Linked DNA regions of Mus musculus. The protein of the gene in region 1 interacts with the protein of each later gene in a pairwise test. Links are inferred from orthologs where the notes say so. Each region holds a gene or a part of one and is shown in the gene's direction. Other genes may lie near its edges.

The links.
Region 2: the proteins of Crx (region 1) and Gcm2 interact in binary tests that used the Homo sapiens proteins (3 or more experiments, as listed by UniProt). The link is inferred for Mus musculus from reciprocal best matches to the Homo sapiens genes CRX and GCM2.

Annotation. Positions count from the first base shown.
Region 1 is NC_000073.6:15,867,564-15,869,967, reverse strand, and holds part of Crx (cone-rod homeobox protein), read left to right. Parts: intron 1-473; coding exon 474-625; intron 626-1,540; coding exon 1,541-2,188; 3' UTR 2,189-2,404. UniProt on the Homo sapiens protein: Transcription factor that binds and transactivates the sequence 5'-TAATC[CA]-3' which is found upstream of several photoreceptor-specific genes, including the opsin genes.
Region 2 is NC_000079.6:41,107,078-41,111,316, reverse strand, and holds the start of Gcm2 (chorion-specific transcription factor GCMb), read left to right. Parts: upstream 1-1,328; 5' UTR 1,329-1,362; coding exon 1,363-1,452; intron 1,453-4,239. UniProt on the Homo sapiens protein: Transcription factor that binds specific sequences on gene promoters and activate their transcription. Through the regulation of gene transcription, may play a role in parathyroid gland development.

The DNA of each region.
Region 1 (2,404 bases):
ATTTGGGAGGCTGAGGTAGGAGGATCTCTTGAGACCATGATTTCAGGGCTAGCCTGGGCTATGTAGTGAAACCCTGTTGTAATGAAAGAGAGGGGGAGGGATAAAAGGAAGGGGAAGAGAAAAGGGAGGATAGGAGAGAGAGAAGTAGGAAGAAAGGAGGAAGGGGAGAGAGAGGAGGAGAAGGAAGAGAAGAAAGGGAAGGAGGGGGTAGGAATGAAACAAGAACAAAATGGAAGGGCAAATTCTTGTAGGGCTAAAACCAGTTTCTGTCAGTGAATGAATGACTGGAACACAATTCCTCAATTCCTCTGGGGACTGAGCAGCCACTAGGAGGCCAGAGAATCAATCAAAGCTCCTTGTTTAGGCTGATGGACGTGAAGAAAGGTCTTTGGGACAGGTATTCCTCTGTACCTCATGGCCTCTGGCGAGCAGACCTAGCTATCCTGAGGGTTCTTTAATTTGCCCCCGCTTAGGTGCCCCTAGGAAGCAGCGGCGGGAGCGGACCACATTCACCAGGAGCCAGCTGGAGGAGCTGGAGGCCCTGTTTGCCAAGACCCAGTACCCGGATGTGTATGCACGTGAGGAGGTTGCTCTTAAGATCAATCTGCCTGAGTCCAGGGTCCAGGTAGGATGATCTGCTCCCTGGACCCCTCATACCCTTACTGTAACTTTCTGTGGGCCTGTGTCAGATCCAGAGTGGATGAAAGAGAGAAGCCAAGGGTAGCAGCCATATTTATGAAGTGGTCTAAATGCCCCTCACGTTCCATATGTCACTCTTCTTATATGATGCCCTGTGTATGCCAGGTGTATGCTCTACCACTGAGCTACATCCCTAGCTTTGGTATTATTATATCTATATGTAAAATTGCATGCATATGTGTACTATGAAATTGGCTGTATCATGTATCATGATGGCATGTATCTATGCATATATGTACTTATGCATAGATACATGATTGCATGTATGATATGTGACTATAATGCATGTATGATTACATATACATAATCATGAGTAGGAGCATGTTAATATAATGTGTTCATACGTGCATGACTGTATGTATGATATGTGAGTATAATGCATGCATTCATAAGCAGGAACAAGTAAATATAATATGTTCATATGTGTATGATTACATGTATATATGTGAGGACAATACACAATTGCATACATATTCATGGGATCAGGTGGGTGGCTGAATGCATGTATGTGTATGTGTGTGTGACTGCATGCATATTATGTGAGAATAATGTATGATTGTATGTATGCATGTGTGATCAATCAGGTAGGTAGGTGATACATGATGACTGGTATATGCATGTAGTGTATAATTGCCTGCATGTATGATATGTGTGTGTGATCAGTGCATGTAGGTTTCTGTGTGCACGTGTACATGCATGATTGGACAGGTACACAGATCATGGACAGAGCTGCCCTATCATTGGATGCAGAGTGGTGATGTGTGGGTCTTACCATCAGCTTTGTCTGCTCTTGGCATGTGAGTTCACTCCCCTTCCCCCCATATTTCCTCTCTCTATCTAGGTCTGGTTCAAGAATCGTAGGGCGAAATGCAGACAGCAGCGACAGCAGCAGAAACAGCAACAGCAGCCCCCGGGGGCACAGACCAAGGCTCGTCCTGCGAAGAGGAAGGCAGGGACATCCCCGAGACCCTCTACAGATGTTTGTACAGATCCTTTGGGCATCTCAGATTCTTACAGCCCATCTCTGCCTGGCCCCTCAGGTTCACCTACCACAGCAGTGGCCACCGTGTCCATTTGGAGTCCAGCCTCAGAGGCTCCTTTGCCTGAGGCCCAGAGAGCCGGCCTAGTGGCTTCTGGGCCCTCTCTCACCTCAGCCCCTTATGCCATGACCTATGCCCCGGCTTCTGCTTTCTGTTCTTCCCCTTCAGCTTATGCATCTCCAAGTTCCTATTTCAGTGGGTTGGATCCCTACCTTTCGCCCATGGTGCCCCAACTTGGGGGTCCGGCTCTCAGCCCCCTCTCAGGCCCCTCTGTGGGGCCATCCCTGGCCCAGTCCCCCACCTCCTTGTCAGGCCAGAGCTATAGCACCTACAGTCCTGTGGACAGCCTGGAATTCAAGGACCCCACAGGCACCTGGAAATTTACCTACAATCCCATGGACCCTCTGGACTACAAAGATCAGAGTGCCTGGAAGTTTCAGATCTTGTAGAAGGGGCTTCATATCCCCCCTTCCAGCGGAATCACTCTTTCTGGACTCAAGCTGTCTCCTCCAGCTTAGATTCCAGGAGAGTAGCTCTCAGCAAGCAACAGCAAGTAGCAATCCTGCCAAAGGCTGTGAACCATTCAGCCTCAGGTGTTTCCTACCCTCAGCTCCTTTAGAGAGCTTAGCCCCTTTACAGCATACCCCAAGCAATGAAAGTGGCTC
Region 2 (4,239 bases), on another chromosome or scaffold:
TCTTCTGGGTGGCAAATGAGAGATCACAAAATCCTGGTCTATTTTTCTTTAATTATGGATGCATAGAGAGATGGGGGAGAGGGAGAAGAAGAGGGAGAGGGAGAGATATGAGGGGAGGGAAGAGGAAAGGAGAGAAGAGGAGAGGGGAGAAGGGAGGAGAGGAAAGGAGAGGAGAGGAAAGGAGAGGAGAAAAGAATGGAAGAGAAGGGAGGAGAGAAGAGGAGAGGAGAGGAGAGGAGAGGAGAGGAGAGGTATAAAGAGGGAGGCGATTCTTTTGGACTAGAGCTCCAACCACACTTTAAGTTCTTTCTCTCTCTCCATCTATCCCAGGGTCATCCGGTCCCAACCTTCAGATTTGCTTTCCAAGGCTTTTCCTGGTGGGTCAGGTCTGTCTCAGGCTACAGTATGTGTCCGCTTGAGAGCTTACTGGAATGCTAGGCTTACTCTCTGCACGGACTCGGACAGAGAAACTGCAGGAACCCAGAGAACTGAGGAAGCTGTGCCTAGACTGGAGGCGCCTGCTGCTGGCTCTTCATTCTCCTTCAATTTTCCCACCTCGCACTGGAACTAGCTCCGAGGAGACTGCTGGAAACCTTTGCTTCCAGAGCCTCAACCTAAGCCCTCAACAGAGAGGCTGACAGACCATCGGGTTTGGTTTTCCCATAAATGACACAGTCCTCTTTGCTCCCCACTGCCTACTGCTTAACTTCAATTCCCCTTTGCTCAGCGGCTTAAACTCTCCCCTGCATTCCAGGCTGGAGCTTCAGGTGTAGGAGAGGTAGCCCAGCAGAGGCAGAGAGATCCAGTGTCTCTGTACAAACCTGCTTAAAGGTGCTTCTGTTCAGAGGGATGCATTTCAGCACCTCAGCCAATGACAGGGCACCCACTGCAGGCTCTCTCTCTCTCTCTCTCCCTCTCTCTCTCTCTCTCTCTGTGTGTGTGTGTGTGTGTGTGTTTCTCTGTTTCCTTCTCTGTCTCTCTCTCTCTGTGTCTCTTTGTGTGTGTGTCTTTCTCTCTGTGTCCTTCTCTGTCTCTGTATGTGTGTGCTTCTCTGTCTCTGTGTGTGTGTTGTGTGTGTCTGTCTCTGTCTGTCTGTCTGTCTGTCTGTTTTACTGTCTGAATCCCTCCATATCTGTCTCTCTGTTTCTTTGTGTGTATATCTGCCTCTCTCTGTCTCTGTCTCCTTCTGTCTCTTTCTGTCTCAGTCTCCTCCCTCCCTCCTATTTCCTCCCCCCTCCTCCCTCCTCTTCCTCTTCCTCTTTCACTTACCTCCTTCTCACTTGGAAAAGAGTCACCCTGCGCACTCCTCAGCTTTATCTCTCTTTCAGGGCCCTGACTAGAGAGAACTAGAGGCCCCTCCAGATGCCAGCAGACAGCACGCAGGACGAGGATGCTGTGCTCTCCTACGGGATGAAACTCACGTGGGACATCAATGACCCACAGATGCCTCAGGTAAGGAAGACACTGCACTTTGGGTAAAATATGACACTGTCCAGCCAAAGGGGAAACTTCGAGCCAATTCATGCTAAGACCACACACACACATACACACACACACACACACACACACACACACATCTTCGGATATGTAGGGAAGTTAGACTCTACAGAGTGCAGAATAGATTGATGTGTCTTCTCAGAATGATTTACATGTGATTCTCTGAAACACACAAAAGCAACAGAAATACAGACATGTTCCCAAGTAGTCAGCCAGACTCTCCATTTTCTTAACCAAGGGAGAAACTGAGTGAGTCTCTCTCTCTCTCTCTCTCTCTCTCTCTCTGTCTCTCTCTCTCTCTCTCTCTCTCTGTCTCTCCTTGGGATTGGTACAAATTCAAGGCCAGTCAGGGCTACTTAACAAAGCCTCCTGTCAAAACAAAACAATGAGAAACCTCACTCTTTACTCGATTATTCCAAGTTCAAGAGAAAGTTTTGGAGAAATGTAAATACCACTAATTCTCACATGACCAAGCCAGGCACTAAGAGGTGACTGGAATCTAAAACAAATGTCCAGACTGGAGCGATTCCTTGACAGTACTCCATCACCTGCTGAGAAGATTCCACAGTCGGGATGCAGAAGTCGCCTTGCTCCACTCTCACGTCCCTAGCAGTGGAATGCTTGTCCTTTGGGGGAAACTTTGTTTTTTTTCATTATCAGAGCCAAGTACAAGAAATAAACTAGGCAGTTTGTGTTTAGATCAAGACTAATGGCTGAAAAGTGTGTGTATGTGTGTGTACAGTGTGTGTGTACAGTGTGTGTGTAGTGTGTGTGTGTAGTATGTATGTGTGGTATGTGTAGCGTATGTGGTATGTGTGTGTGGTGTGTGTAGTGTGGGGGTGGGGGTGGTGGGGGTGGTGTGTATACATGTGTGTAATGTGGTGTGTGTGTGGTATGCGGTGGATGTAGTGTGTGTGAGTATGATGTGTGTGGTGTATGTGGTGTGTGTGTGTGTGTGTGTGTGTGTGTGTGTGGGGTGTGGTGTTCATGTGTGCAAATGAACTTAGCGGCTAGAGATGATTGGTTTCCCTAGCATTTACAGAGTGGGCTTCCAGTAAAGTCCTGCTTCAAGGGTTTGAAATGTGGCATTTAATGGCCTCTGTGCTATGCCAGATGATACTCAGAGATGAGAGACGGTTGACCAGGATGTGTCGCCTCTGGTTGAGGCCAGCATTTGTTTAATGGACACATGTGTAAGGAGCTTGCCTCGCTTGCTCATGTTCAGCCTGCCTCCTTCAGCATCTTGTAGGACAACTGTTCTGAACAGAGATCGCAGAATGCATGTCCCATTACTGCTGACCTCAGCTGCTGTAAATCCCAGAGAAAACATCTAATCTCGTGTTTTGAAAAAGAATCGGATCCAAACGATACAATACAAACATGACCTCAAAGATGCATAGATATTGGTTTTCCTTTTGGGGGGAATCTGCTTTTATTTTATTTTTTTTTTATTGTGTGTATACTATGTGTGCCCATGTGTGTAGAGGCAAGTGCGGATGTCACAGGATGGTTTCATGAGTCAGTTCTCTCTCTCAGCCATGGGATTTAAGATTTAACTCAGATGGTTAAGTTTGCAAGGCCAAGCCTTTACCTGCTAAGCTGTCTGGTCTTTAATCAGGAGTATGTCTAACACGTGAGAAAGGACAGGAATAAAGACAGAAACAGCAGTAACAAAACAATCCATCTCGTGCACTCTCTCTCTGTCTCTCTCTGTCTCTCTCTCTATCTCTGTCTGTCTCTCTCTCTCGTGTGTGTGTGTGTGTGTGTGTGTGTGTGTGTATTGTCAACACATTAGAGCAAATGAAACCTCCTTTCAGGTATGCATACGCCACATAGACAGACACACAGACACAGACACAGAGACACACACACACACACTTATCTTTCTAGCTCTTCTAACTGGTCGAGTGAAGTAAACTGTCTTTGTGACCTTGAACTTTTGTTATTCTCCGGCTGCTGTCCTGTCATCAAATGATGAAACTAGATAACAATCTCAAATTGTCCTCAGACATACTGTCATCTTGCAATGTGTGAGCGTGTGTATGTGAGCATGTGTGTGTGTGTGTGTGTGTGTGTGTGTGTGTGTGTGAGCATGCATGCTGGCAACACATTAGAACAAATGAAACCTCGTTTCAGGTGTGCATACCACACAGACAGGCATACAGATGCACACACACAATTAGAAACAAGCATAAAATAAATCTTTCAACTACTAAATAGAAGCAGAGTTGAATGCTTTTCTTTTTAGGGCAGCTGGTCAATTGTAAGTTTTTGAATTTGCCTTGCTTTACATGATCTGCGATTAGGCAAATGAGAAAAATGCCCCCGAATTCCATTCACCTCCGTGCACTGGGAGAAAAATGTAAAAACTGTCATTGCGGCCTCATTGTTCAACACATCTTTGTAATGTGCTCTGGGTCCACTTTTCGTAGACGAGATTAGCCTGAATCTCGTTCTCCACCTTGGAGATTTTGGTCATCAGTGTAAATACTGACTTGTTTAAAAAGAGTGAGCAATCTGGAGATCTGAAGAATAGCTTCTCCACAGAACACAATGTCCGTTTGATATTTTGATATCACTTATATATATTGTGGTGACCTGAATGCTGAGCTGTGAAATTTAGAGACTGAAATGTGCTTTAATCTTGCAGTGCTTGGTGAAAGCCAAGGGGTAGGAGCACATGCCCGCACCTGTAATCCTAACACTCAAAATACAAAAGCAGAAGGGTCAAGAGTTCCCGGC